2 linked regions of the Sus scrofa genome follow. The protein of the gene in region 2 purifies or fractionates together with the protein of the main gene of each other region. This does not show direct contact. Links are inferred from orthologs where the notes say so. Each region holds a gene or a part of one and is shown on either strand. Other genes may lie near its edges.

Region 1 (5,833 bases), on a different chromosome or scaffold from region 2:
TCCACCTCCAGGCCCCTTTCCACCTCGCCCGCCTGGCCCTCTTGGGCCACCCCTTACACTTGCTCCTCCTCCGCATCTTCCTGGACCACCTCCAGGTGCCCCACCGCCAGCTCCACATGTGAACCCGGCTTTCTTTCCTCCACCAACTAACAGCGGCATGCCTACATCAGATAGCCGGGGTCCACCACCAACAGATCCATATGGCCGCCCTCCGCCATATGATAGGGGTGACTATGGGCCTCCCGGAAGGTAAGCTAGTGTGTGTCTACGAAAGTAGACTTGGTATGGAGTTTCTGTTGTGGCTCAGCGGGTTAAGAACTCAAAGTAGTGTCCATGAGGATGTGGGTTCAATCCCTGGCCTGGCTCACTGGGTTAAGGATCCAGCCTTGCCACAAGCTGCAGCATAGGTCACAGATGTGGCTCAGATTCATTGTGGCTCTGGTGTAGGCAGCAGCTGCAGGTCCAATTCCACTCTTAGCCCGGGAACTTCCATATGCCACAGGTGAGGCCACAAAAAAAAAAAAAAAAAAAAAGAGAGAGAGAGAAAGAAAAAATGTAGACTTGGTGTGTTGGATCTGCAAAAGATATTTTTCATTCTGTCAGTGAAGTTTTTAAAAAAAATTATGAACTTTCCCCAGATACTTTATTTTCATATTGTTTTCTCTTAGAAGAAACAGTATGATACAATGAAAAACGGGTACTGAGCGGGGTTGGAAATAATCCAGTTCTGCCACTTATACAGCCATGTGATTTTAGGGCAAGTTACTTTGTTTCCATCATTTTTTAAGTTAAAAAAGGTGAATAAAGATAATTTAAGTGAGCAAATGAGATCCTTAAGCTATTTTTAAGATTTAAAAGTCAATCTCATTTACCACTGATGACACTCAAGTTTTTTAATTGTTTTAGGAATTAGAATTAGATGGATACTATTGATTATCTCATCCTCATTAGGAGTCCTAAGCAAAATTATTAACTTTAAATTAAAATGGGAACATTAAGTAATTTATAAGCATATTCGGGTAGACAGACAATTGTGAAATACAGGCTTTGTGGAAATTAAAATGGCAATCCTTCGAGAAAAGCTGCATGAAATCATGGTGGAACTAAGTGATCCTTAAATCCCCTTTCAGAGTAGGTGTTTTCTTTCTTTCTTTATTTGGCCGAACCTGGGACTTGTGGAAGTTCCTGGGCCAGGGATCCAACCCACACTACAGCAGCCACCCTAGCCCCTGCAGTGACAACACTGGATCCTTAACCTACTGCGCCACAAGGGAACTCCTCAAAGTAGTTTTAAAGCTGTGCATATTCAATTCATAATCTGGAGAGCTTTGTTCTTAATCTCTAAGAAGTATTTGAATTTGCCCCCTTCATTTTCTTTTGAGTTTTATCATTTGTTTTTGAATTCTTTAATTATCCCTATTGAACTACTTTGTATTTCATTTTGTCTGATGATGTCATGCAAGGGTGGATTTGAGCATCTGCCTAATTCCATATAATTGCACAGGGCCAGGAAAATAAATTTGATGTTGTAAACAAAATCTACTGACAGTTATCTATCCATAGAGGTTGTGTCTTTATGACTACCGAAAAGGCTAGTTTTCTTTTGAAAAGTGATGTAACTATGAGGCTAGCACAACTTTTCTTCTGTTCAGTTTAGTTCCAGTGAGCCCAGTGAGCAGCTGCTTATCAAGTGTTCACCCATAGTGTTTAGGAGCAGGTTAGGTGGCTTGGTTTGACAGTTTAAAACTTGAGTCTGATATGCTTTTTCTGGCATGATAGAATTGCTGCAGTATTAGGTTTTCTAAAAATATGCATATTTGTGTGTGTATATAGGTATTATTAAGTAGTTTTTAATTGAAAATTAGAGAAAACTGATTATCTTACATGGGATTTTTTTAGAGGATAAGATGGGTATGAGTCACAGAATTTGCTTGAAATTATACATGGATTTTGAACAACTTGTAAATTAAAATTTGGGGAATAATAATATCTTATAAACATGCCAAAGGTTATATTAGTGATTTCCTCATTTCATTGGAATGAACTACTACTGCTTACCCTAATCTAACATCCTACCAAGTAACTAATAACTAAGATGGCAAAAAGTTTACCTTTGCCTGTACAATATATGTAGTCACCTTGTTTGTTTGTTTTTTTGTTTGTTTGTTTGTTTGTTCGGTCTTTTTAGGGCTGCACCCGCAGCAGTATACAGAGGTTCCCAGGCTAGGGGTCGAATCAGAGCTGTAGATGCTGCCCTATACCACAGCTCACAGCAGTGCCAGATCCTTAACCCACAGAGTGAGGTGAGGGATGGAACCTGCATCCTCATGGATACCAGTCAGATTCGTTTTCGCTGAGCCACGACAGGAACTCCTGAAGTCCCAATTTTTAAAGTTGTCCAGCAGCTTTAGAAAATCCTGGGATTTTTAGTAATATTTTTCAACAGAAAAAGTTCTTAGTACTTTTTATTTGCCAGATATTCTTCTAGGGATTCAGTGGCAAACAAGATCTAAGATCTTGTCCCTCCTGAAATTTTATTAAACACACTTATTATCCTGTTGTAAGTTGGGACCCTGTACGTAGAAGATCTAAGCATAAGTGAAACTGAATTCCCACTCTTGATCGTATAGGACTGTGTTTTTTGCATTCAGCATTTTTTGTTCACATATACAGAGGGGGAGAGAGAGAGACATCAGAACAATTTATATATATTTTTGTATGACTCTGAGCAATAGTATATTGTAGGTATGTAAATACGTCATTTCTGGTCTAAGTTGCTGCTTTTGTTTCAACTGAAAGATAATGGCGTAAGGGAATTTTGCATAGACTTTCTCTTTGTAGGAAAGCTAGCATATTTGAATCTGAAAAAGTAACTGCTAGCCCTAAAGCACTTGTCAAAAGCAACTGTTTGAATTGTTTCATGATGTTATGGCTGATTTATAAAATCTTTTGAGTATGATTTAAGGTTTATTTTGATTTTTATAGGGAAATGGATACCGCACGAACGCCATTGAGTGAAGCTGAGTTTGAAGAAATCATGAATAGAAATAGGGCAATCTCAAGCAGCGCTATTTCAAGGGCTGTGTCTGATGCCAGTGCTGGTTTGTATAGTTCTTTCTGTATTAATGACTTGAAAACTTCTTTTATTCTTTTTAGGTCCGCACCTGCAACATGTGTAACTTCCAGGCTAGGGGTCAAATCAGAGCTGCAACTGCCAGCCTGCACCACAGCTTGTGGCAACACCAGATCCTTAACCCTCTAAGCAAGGCCCACAATTGAGCCCATATCCTCATGGATACTAGTCAGGTTCTTAACCCAGCGAGCCACAATAGGAATTACTTAAAACTCAAGTGCAGTCTTGAAGATGGGTTATCTACATGTGGTAGTAATTATTTTTATTTCCAGATCATTATCTGTACTTTTTTAAAAGGCATTGAAGAATTCAGCAGGTTAAGGACACAGCATTGTCTCTGTGAGGATGCTGGTTTGATCCCTGACCTCATTTAGTGAGTTAAGGGTCCAGCATTGCCATAACTGCGGCATGGGTCACAGATGTGACTGTGATCCAGTATTGCTGTGGTGTAGGCCATAGCTGCATCTCTGATTCAGCCCCAGCCCAGGAACTCCATATGCTTCAGATGCAGTCTGGAAAAAGGCATAGGAGGAAGCTTTATGTCACAGTAATGGAAAGGCCCTAATTTTAAATTTTTTAGGTATAGATTTAAATCTTAGCCTGACATTTAATGGTTCAGGGACCTTAAGGCAGCTCATTAATTCTCATGTTTGCTAAGTGATAACTTGTTTCACACAGCTACAATAGTAACAAATTGTATTAATTTCATGTGCATTAAAGCCTTTTCCAAATTTTGAAACACAAAAAATTTAGGTATCTTCTACAGTCTATTTGCAGCGGCATTACTTTTGTAAAATAATTAACCTCGAATAACTGTGTGGTATTTTGAAAATAATTTATTTGACTTCAACCTCTCTCCTTCTGCTTGCTTACAGGTGATTATGGGAGTGCTATTGAGACATTGGTAACTGCAATTTCTTTAATTAAACAGTCCAAAGTATCTGCTGATGATCGTTGCAAAGTACTTATTAGCTCTTTGCAAGATTGCCTTCATGGAATTGAATCCAAGTCTTATGGTTCTGGATCAAGGTAAAACTTTCCTGTCTCATGTCTGTTTAAAACTTCTACTTTCCAAGTAGAAGAAAATGTTGCGCTTGGGCCTTTATAGGCCTTAGATTTTACTTATTACTATTAACTTAGCAGCTAGAGTGATTTTGTTGTTGTTATTTAAGCTCTAAATCAAATGTCAAATGTTTGCTTGCTTAAAACCCTTCAAAGCCTTCCAGTTATTCTTAGAATAAGACTAAATATTGAAATGCTTTGTGATATAGTCCCTGCCTATCTTTTCAGCCTCATTGTATCCCTCTCCCCTTGCTCACTATTCTCTAGCCATATTGATTTCCTTTCTCTTCCTCTTGAACATTAAGCACTTGACCCACCTCACTGGTTTTGTACTTGGTATTTCTTCTGCTGAGATCCCTTTTCCCTGACTCTTCACATAGCTGTCTCCTTATCTTTCATGCTTCAGCTCAATTTAACTTGCTAGGTTGGGTCTTCTCCCACTTAATTCTGTCATGCTTTATTTCTTTTGTAATACTGTAATGTGCTCTTATTTATTACTAACGGACATTTCTTTTCACTGAACACATTTAAAGATGGAAGGGAGCTTACTGTCTTGGTCACTACAATATTTGTTTACCAAGTAAACAGTGCTTGGTACCAAATGGATACTAAAATATTTCTTGAACAAGGGCATTAATGAATAAATGCTATTTCCTAGGGTTTTTGTTGTTGTTGTTGTTGTTTAATTCTTTCTTCCTTACGGCCATACCTGTGGTTTGTGAAAGTTCCTGGGCCAGGGATCAAATTGGAGCTATAGCTGTGGCCTATGCCGCAATACCAGATCTGAGCTGCATCTGCAAACTGTGCCACAGCTTGGGGCAACTCTGGATCTGTAACCCACTGAGTACGACGAGGGTGGAGCTGACATCCTCACACAGACAATGTCGGGTCCTTAACGCACTGAGCCATGATAGGAACTCCCCTAGTTTTTTAAATTAGGTAGTTCCTTTTTTGGGTATTATTACTACCTTGAAATTTTACGTATTTTTGAAAGGTAGATCTTTAATCTTCACATAACATTCTTAAATCTGTCTTTAGTATACTTTTTCTGATGCTGGTCTTCTTAAGTTAGAAAAAGGAATTTATCTTTGTCATGGTCACTAACTTTATTACCTTTTGAACAAATTTGTCATAGCTAAAGACTGTTATCTTTTAACTTTTTATGTCTAAAGTAATCACTTCTACCTAGATCACAACCTTATTATACTATATCTTTGCTAAGTCAAGCTGTCTGGTGTAGAAATACACAGTGGAGATTAAACTAATAGGCAGTTATTTCCTTATTTCGAATTTCAGAATTTAGAATAGTAGGATTTCTAAGGTATATACTTTGGTTAAAGAACCTGTCTTATTTCTAAAGACAGTTCATGAAACATTTCTCTTTATTAAACATTTTGAGTAGTGTCCCAATCTTTTCTAGTGGTCATGTTTACTAAGTTTCTTCTCTGCTTCCCACCATGCTTCTCAACATCAGTACTCCTACCCCTAGCCCCTAAGCACATATAAATAAGTATGCATTTGATTAGAAAGTTTCTGGGTGGAGTAGCACTCTGAATGAAGCATATTTTGCTTACTTATAAGTAGAAATTTGATACTTACATACAGATTTAGGTGAGCTATGTTAATGGTAGTAGTTTT
Region 2 (6,355 bases):
ATTTTTTTTTTTTTCAGGTCACTTGAAAAAACAAACAAACAAAACCAACTAAAGAAAGTATTTCTATGGTGCCAGCACTGACCCATTGATCCCCCACCCCCACCCCCCAAAAAAACCAAGTATTTCTATTTATTTGCTTCAAACTTAACTTAGGCTTCCAGAAAATAATTAACTGTAATTTAATAAAAGTGAAGTTACAAATACTTGATTTGGCTACATACATCCCAGAATATTTAATTTAGCTTTTGAAGAATTTCCACCTAACTTTAGAAAACAAAATTTAGACTTTTTTTTTTAATTGAAAAGATGGTTTTGGTATATTTTAAGCAATAAACAAAACTGGGCATTCAAATATTGAAAAAAATTCTATGATTTTTAATTCCAAACTAATTTATTATATGATTTAGATATTTACAGTCCAGGAACACTAGCATAATGGAGAGACATGCAATAAAACGGGCTCTGAGTTAAAGCATGGACTCAGATGAAAAATATTTCTCTTAGCAATTAACACATTTTATCAAAGAACATGTTATCTCACACTCAGATTAGGAAATTAAACACTGTCCTCACATCAAATCCTTTCACTTCATTATTTTTCCTTCTCCAAGCCTGTCTTTTCATGTTATTTCTATGTAAAGAATACCCATTTAATTTTAAGCATCTCTGATTCTAAGATGTTTTCAAGTCAAATGAAAGCACAAAATTTAAGTCAATATTAATTCAGATAAAAAAAAAAGAAAATCCACTGCTAAATTATCATAAATTTCCACGGATAACAACTACATAAAACATTCCTTTGAACTGGGCTATACAGACCTGGTCTGAGACATATCCATATTATCACTATTTCAGAATATGAAAAAGTTTGCATTAAGTCTAACTTGTTAATAATCAAGCCAACTGGAGCTCCCGCGGAGGTGCAGCAATAACCAACCCTGGGAACTTCCGTATGCCAAGGGCACAGCCCTAAAAAGACCAAAAATAGTAAGAATAATCAAACACCCAAACTCCCGCAGCTAATTTTAACCGTCCGTGAAGCTAATCTGTAGCCAGCAATCATGGTTGCCCAAAAACACATCCTAAAAAAGAGCAATGAATCCAGCTGGAGCCTCCCTTTTAAAAATTAGACACTATATTGGAGTTCCGTTGTGGCTCAGTGGTTAATGAATCGGACTAGGAACCATGAGGTTGCAGGTTCGATCCCTGGCCTCGCTCAGTGGGTTAATGATCCGGTGTTGCCATGAGCTGTGGTGTAGGTCACAGACACTGCTCGGATCCTACATTGCTGTGGCTGTGGTGTAGGCTGGCGGTTACAGCTCCAATTAGACCCCCTAGCCTGGGAACCTCCATATGTTTTGGGAGCGGCCCAAGAAAAGACAAAAATAAATAAATATAAAAATTAGACACTATAAAAATTAAATATTAAAAACCGTGATTATAACTAGTGTTAATATGCCTTTAAGACAAGTCCAATGTTGAAAATTCACTCTTTTTATTCCTCCCTGGGAGGAAAAGCAATCAGTATGTTATTTTCGGTTCACTCCAGTGACCCCGCCCCAAACCATTTGTCTACGGTTAATTACCCGCACACTCAGGCCCAAACTCCGCCCTCCAGGCTCTGGGGATTTCAGGTGTAGAGTGGACTGGGACTGGGAAGAAGCGGGAACTAGTTCTAGCTCGGCCCCCTCCCTCGCTGAGTGAACCCGCAGGCTTACACTCCCTTCCGGAGTGTCAGTTCGCCCTAAAGGGGGGCATGGTGATTTTCAGGGATCCTGTGACGTCCTCGGGGAAGGCACGGTCGCCCCCTCCCGCCGCGGGTGGGACACGGGTGGGCAGGAAGTGGCCAGGAAGGGTCCAGGAAGGCACAGCCTGAGCCTACAGCTTCCCAGAGGGTGGGACGCAACGACCTGGTCAGCATCGGCCGGGCAGACAGTCCCGGGTCCGCACTTCATCCGGCCTGCGGCAGTGCCTCTCTTTCCCCCACTCCCGCCTGGCACTTACGTCCAGCCCCGCCCGTGCAGTCGGTCCGGAACCCGGTGTTGCCCCGCGCGGGGTTGCCCCACTTCCCCAGTTCCAGCCAAGAAAGCAAAACAGCCACAGGCCGCCGGATACCCGGATCGAACAGCACCGCCCCCGGGGCAGGAATGCGCATGCGGCTCCGGGCGTAGGAAGAGGCCTGGGAAGGAAGGAAGATGGGCTCAGAAAGAGCCAGAGAGCCACGCCCACCACGCCGGTGTCTCTGCGCATGCTCGGAACGCGCCAGCTCTAGGGCCTATCCGCTGCGCTCTGTCCACAGCTGGATGTCGGAAATGGTAGTTGCGTGCAGCTTTCAAGGGTAGGTGTGAGAAGTTGCTCTTTGCTTTCAAAAGAAGGCGTTTGCTTGGGCTTTATATCCAGTCTTCAGAGAGGTGATTATTCTTCTAGTGCTGGAGCCCGTTCCGTAGTTGTCTCAGGTGCGGTGCAGAAGGTAGATCTGGCCCAACAGCTCTAATCCGGTTTTTAAGTCTTGTTTAAAATTTTTCTCAGAGCCGCCCCCGCCCTCGCGGAAACTTTGCATCTATAAGGGGCGGTTCCCGGAAGGCGGGTAACGCCGAGTTCTGCTAGCCTGCTACTTGGGAGACCCAGGTGCGTCCCGGCGCGGTGACCCACTTCTAGGAGTTGACGTTTTTTTCAGTTTGCTTGAAGGTAGGGTTTCTGAGCCTAGGTATTACTGACGTTTGGGACCAGACAATTCGGGGGGGAGGGCCTCTGTCCCGTGCTGCTGTAGCATGATTAATCTGCATCACCCGCTTTCCTCCACTTATAACAACCAAAAATGTCTCCAGACTGCCAAACACTCGCCCCTGGGGAAAAGCGACCGGCTTGAGAACCAATGTTTAGGAGATAATCTGGATTCTGAAGAAGTGACCCTTTTCACAGCCGGAGGCAATGGTGTCAGCTAAGAGAATGACTTGTGGCTGGGATCGTCCCTTCCAAGAAGCTCTCGGTCGCATTCCAGCGTCTCGGTGGAGTCGATGGTGGTACAAGAGTCATAGCCCGCTCCGGAGAAGAGGCAAGTCACAGTCTCGTTCCTGAAGGCGCCAGAAGAGAAATTACAGGCGCCGCTCGCTATTCTGCTGGAGGTACCTCTCTCAGGAAAGGTCGTATTACAGAAGGGCCTCTTTGATCACGCGCAGGCGATAGCACTAGGTCTTTTACCCTGTGGTGTATCCGAAAGAACAGAGCACCTGGAGGGAGAGATCCAGGAAGAGGTCGCGGAGCAGAACCCGGTTTCACATAAGTAAAAGAGGTTAGGAAGGTTTTTTTTGTCGCTAAGAGAGGCGCACAGGTTCACCTCTTTTACATGTAGGGGTATATGTATGAGTAGACGAGGAAACCAAGGTTTTTGTGTCGTTTAATTTCTTTGATTTCTTTTGATGTATGAAATCTCCAGCTTTGGGTGAGGGATGGGCATTAGGTGATTAGTAGACAAAACTATGCAATAACAATCCATAGCCTATTTTTAAAGGGACATCATTCTTATTCCTTGGAATTAAAGAGTAATGGTGACTTTAAATGGTCCAGTGGAGGAATCTAGTGAGGGCAGTTCTTAATGGAACCTTTTAAATGTCTTTTTTTTTTTTTTTTTTTTTTGTCTTTTTGCCATTTCTTGGGCCGCTCTCGTGGCACATGGAGGTTCCCAGGCTAGGGGTCGAATCGGAGCTGTAGCCGCCGGCCTACACCACAGCCACAGCAACACGGGATCCAAGCCACATCTGCAACCTACACCACAGCTCACACCAGCACCAGATCCTTAACCCACTGAGCAAGGCCAATGATCGAACCTGCAACCTCATAGTTCCTAGTCAGATTCGTTAACCACTGAGCCACGATGGGAAACTCCTTAAATGTCTATTAATGACACAATAGTTTACCAGCTCTGAACAGCTTTAATTAATCTTGCCTTCAGCTTTTAATAAGTTAACTAATGACTGTGAGAGGAACGCATTAATCTTCCTTCCTCTTTGCGTTTTCTGTCTCCACTCTTTTTTAAATTTACTGGCATAAGACTGTCAGATATTTTGTAAGTGAGCATCTTAATCTTGCTTGTATAATAAAGTGCATCCTTAATTTGTCATTCTTAGCCTTTTGGGGGTATTCTATGGAATTAATGAGTGTTTGGTTTTTTTCCTTTGTAGATGAAATGGAGCTATTAGCACTAGCAAAAGCCTGCACAGCTAAATCCTTAGGAATAGCCAACCTTGACCTGCCAGCTAGTCTCAGAACTGTTACTGGAGTTAAAGAAACAGTGGAACAGCTGTACCAAATACCGCAAAGCTCGAAGTAAACCAGATTTATCCAAACAAAACTTTAAGAAAAACTACTCTTAGAAAGATCTGGTGAACCATTTTTGTTTGATTTACCTTAGGTTACACTCCTCAGAAAACCTAGCTGAATGTAATTTGCCAAAGTCAAAATAACAGATCTGAAAACAGTAGACAGGCTCTCACTCATGAAAGTGGAACAGTAACGAACTTTGTTTTGGGGAACCAACTGGGGCAGATTGGGACTGTTCCCGAAAGTCCCATTTTCTAAGACATCTGTCCTGGGTGAAAATGCCCTGGTTTTCAGCAGTGAGTGCAAATATTTGAGGGGAGCGCAGGGGTACAAAACCTATATTGTGGCCCTCCCAAGAGAGGCTGAAGACAACACCCTTTTTTATGAATGAATATGGTGATTGTCTGCCTTCTGTTAACCACTGATACCGGCAATCTGGATTTGTGTGGTTCACATAGTATATCTACATAACATAGCATTCTCTCAGAGCAGCTTAAATTCCAGACAGGAGCGTTAACAGGCCAGTTAACTTTTGTGCTTTGCATGGAGATAGTGCTCATGTAATTTTTAACTTTGTGAATATTGAGACCATGGTTTCTAAGAGTTCAGATATGAAAATGAGAATGAGTTCAATACCAATGCCAGCCTGACAGTACCAAAAAGAAGACTAAATGGCCCTGGTTTTTCTTTCTTTCTTCTTCTTTCTTTCTTTCTTTCTTTCTTTCTTTCTTTCTTTCTCTCTTTCTCTCTTTCTCTTCCTCTCTCTCTCTCTTTCTCTCTCTTTCTCTCTCTCTCTCTCTCTTTCTTTCTCTCTCTCTCTCTCTTTCTCTCTTTTTAGGGCCACACTCGAGGCCTATGGAGGTTCCCAGGCTAGGGGTCCAATTGGAGCTGTAGCCACTGGCCTACGCCACAGCCACAGCAACTCCGGATCCGAACCTGTGTCATCATGAATACTAGTTGGGTTGGTTAACCACTGAGCCATGACGGGAACTCTGGCTCTGTTATTTTAATGACAGATAGAAGGACACTGGATTAGGGATGTAAATAATCCAGCATACTGTACAATATGCAGGAAAAGAATTTGGGGTTGGCCATGGTGGAGAAGGGGATGTGAAAACACGTATGGAGACTGAATCCCACAAGTCTGGAATGAGACAAGCAGGCACTTTTGAATCAATACAGTGTTTTCATTGCCCTGAAGGACACCAGCACTCAGTCAAAAATAGCAGCTGCTGAATTAGCTTGGGCATACCACGAAAGGATGAACATGCCTTGTCCTATTGCTCCCTTGATTGCTTAGTGAAACTGAATAAAGTTATATTTCCAGATTCAGAGGTTGCAAGTAAAATGTCCTGTGTGCGAACAAAAGGGGAGATCTTGATTACAGATGTGTAGGCTCCTTACGGTGTAGAGCTGATCCTGTCAGACCATGCTTTCTATGGTATTATCAAGTGATGTGTTGAATCATGGCAATAAAAAAGTGTTCCCCCTAGCTCTTAGGTACTTGGATTTGAGAAATGGAGTTTCAAACCATCTTCTTGATTTCTATGAAAATTTTAATGACACTTCAAAAAACATAAAACAGGAGTTCCCGTTGTGGCATAGAGGAAACAAACCCAACTAAGATCCATGAGGATGCAAGTTTGATCCCTGGCCTCAATCAGTGGGTTAAGGATCTGGTGTTGCTGGGAGCTGTGGTGTAGTTTGCAGATGCCGCTTGGATCTGGAGTTGCTGTGACTCTGGTGTTGCTGTGGCTCTGGCATATGCTCAGGCGTAGGCTGGCAGCTACAGCTCCGATTAGACCCCTACCCTGGGAACCTCCATATGCCTCCACTGCGGCCCTAAAAAGACAAACAACAACAACAACAACAAAACAAAGTACCATATTTTTTATGTTTGAAAGAGTTTGAAAATGTTAACGTTGCTTACTTCTAAATTATGGGGAAGAAGAATGGAGGCGTCTTTTAGAGGATTCCATGCTTCCAGGGAATGGATTATTAGTTTTTTATGTATCTTTGGATTTCCTCATTTGTT

What was found.
Region 1: the proteins of RSRP1 (region 2) and CPSF6 purify together in Homo sapiens (affinity purification with mass spectrometry; 3 studies listed by BioGRID and IntAct, with this or other methods). This does not show direct contact. The link is inferred for Sus scrofa from reciprocal best matches to the Homo sapiens genes RSRP1 and CPSF6.

The regions. Positions count from the first base shown.
Region 1 is NC_010447.5:33,541,665-33,547,497, forward strand, and holds part of CPSF6 (cleavage and polyadenylation specificity factor subunit 6), read left to right. Parts: coding exon 1-249; intron 250-2,985; coding exon 2,986-3,101; intron 3,102-4,008; coding exon 4,009-4,162; intron 4,163-5,833. UniProt on the Homo sapiens protein: Component of the cleavage factor Im (CFIm) complex that functions as an activator of the pre-mRNA 3'-end cleavage and polyadenylation processing required for the maturation of pre-mRNA into functional mRNAs.
Region 2 is NC_010448.4:82,857,424-82,863,778, reverse strand, and holds the start of RSRP1 (arginine/serine-rich protein 1), read left to right. Parts: upstream 1-2,200; 5' UTR 2,201-2,338; intron 2,339-2,371; exon of another isoform or gene 2,372-2,688; intron 2,689-2,828; exon of another isoform or gene 2,829-2,922; 5' UTR 2,923-3,055; exon of another isoform or gene 3,056-3,125; intron 3,126-6,355. Other genes in the region: TMEM50A (transmembrane protein 50A), read right to left, coding at 1-2.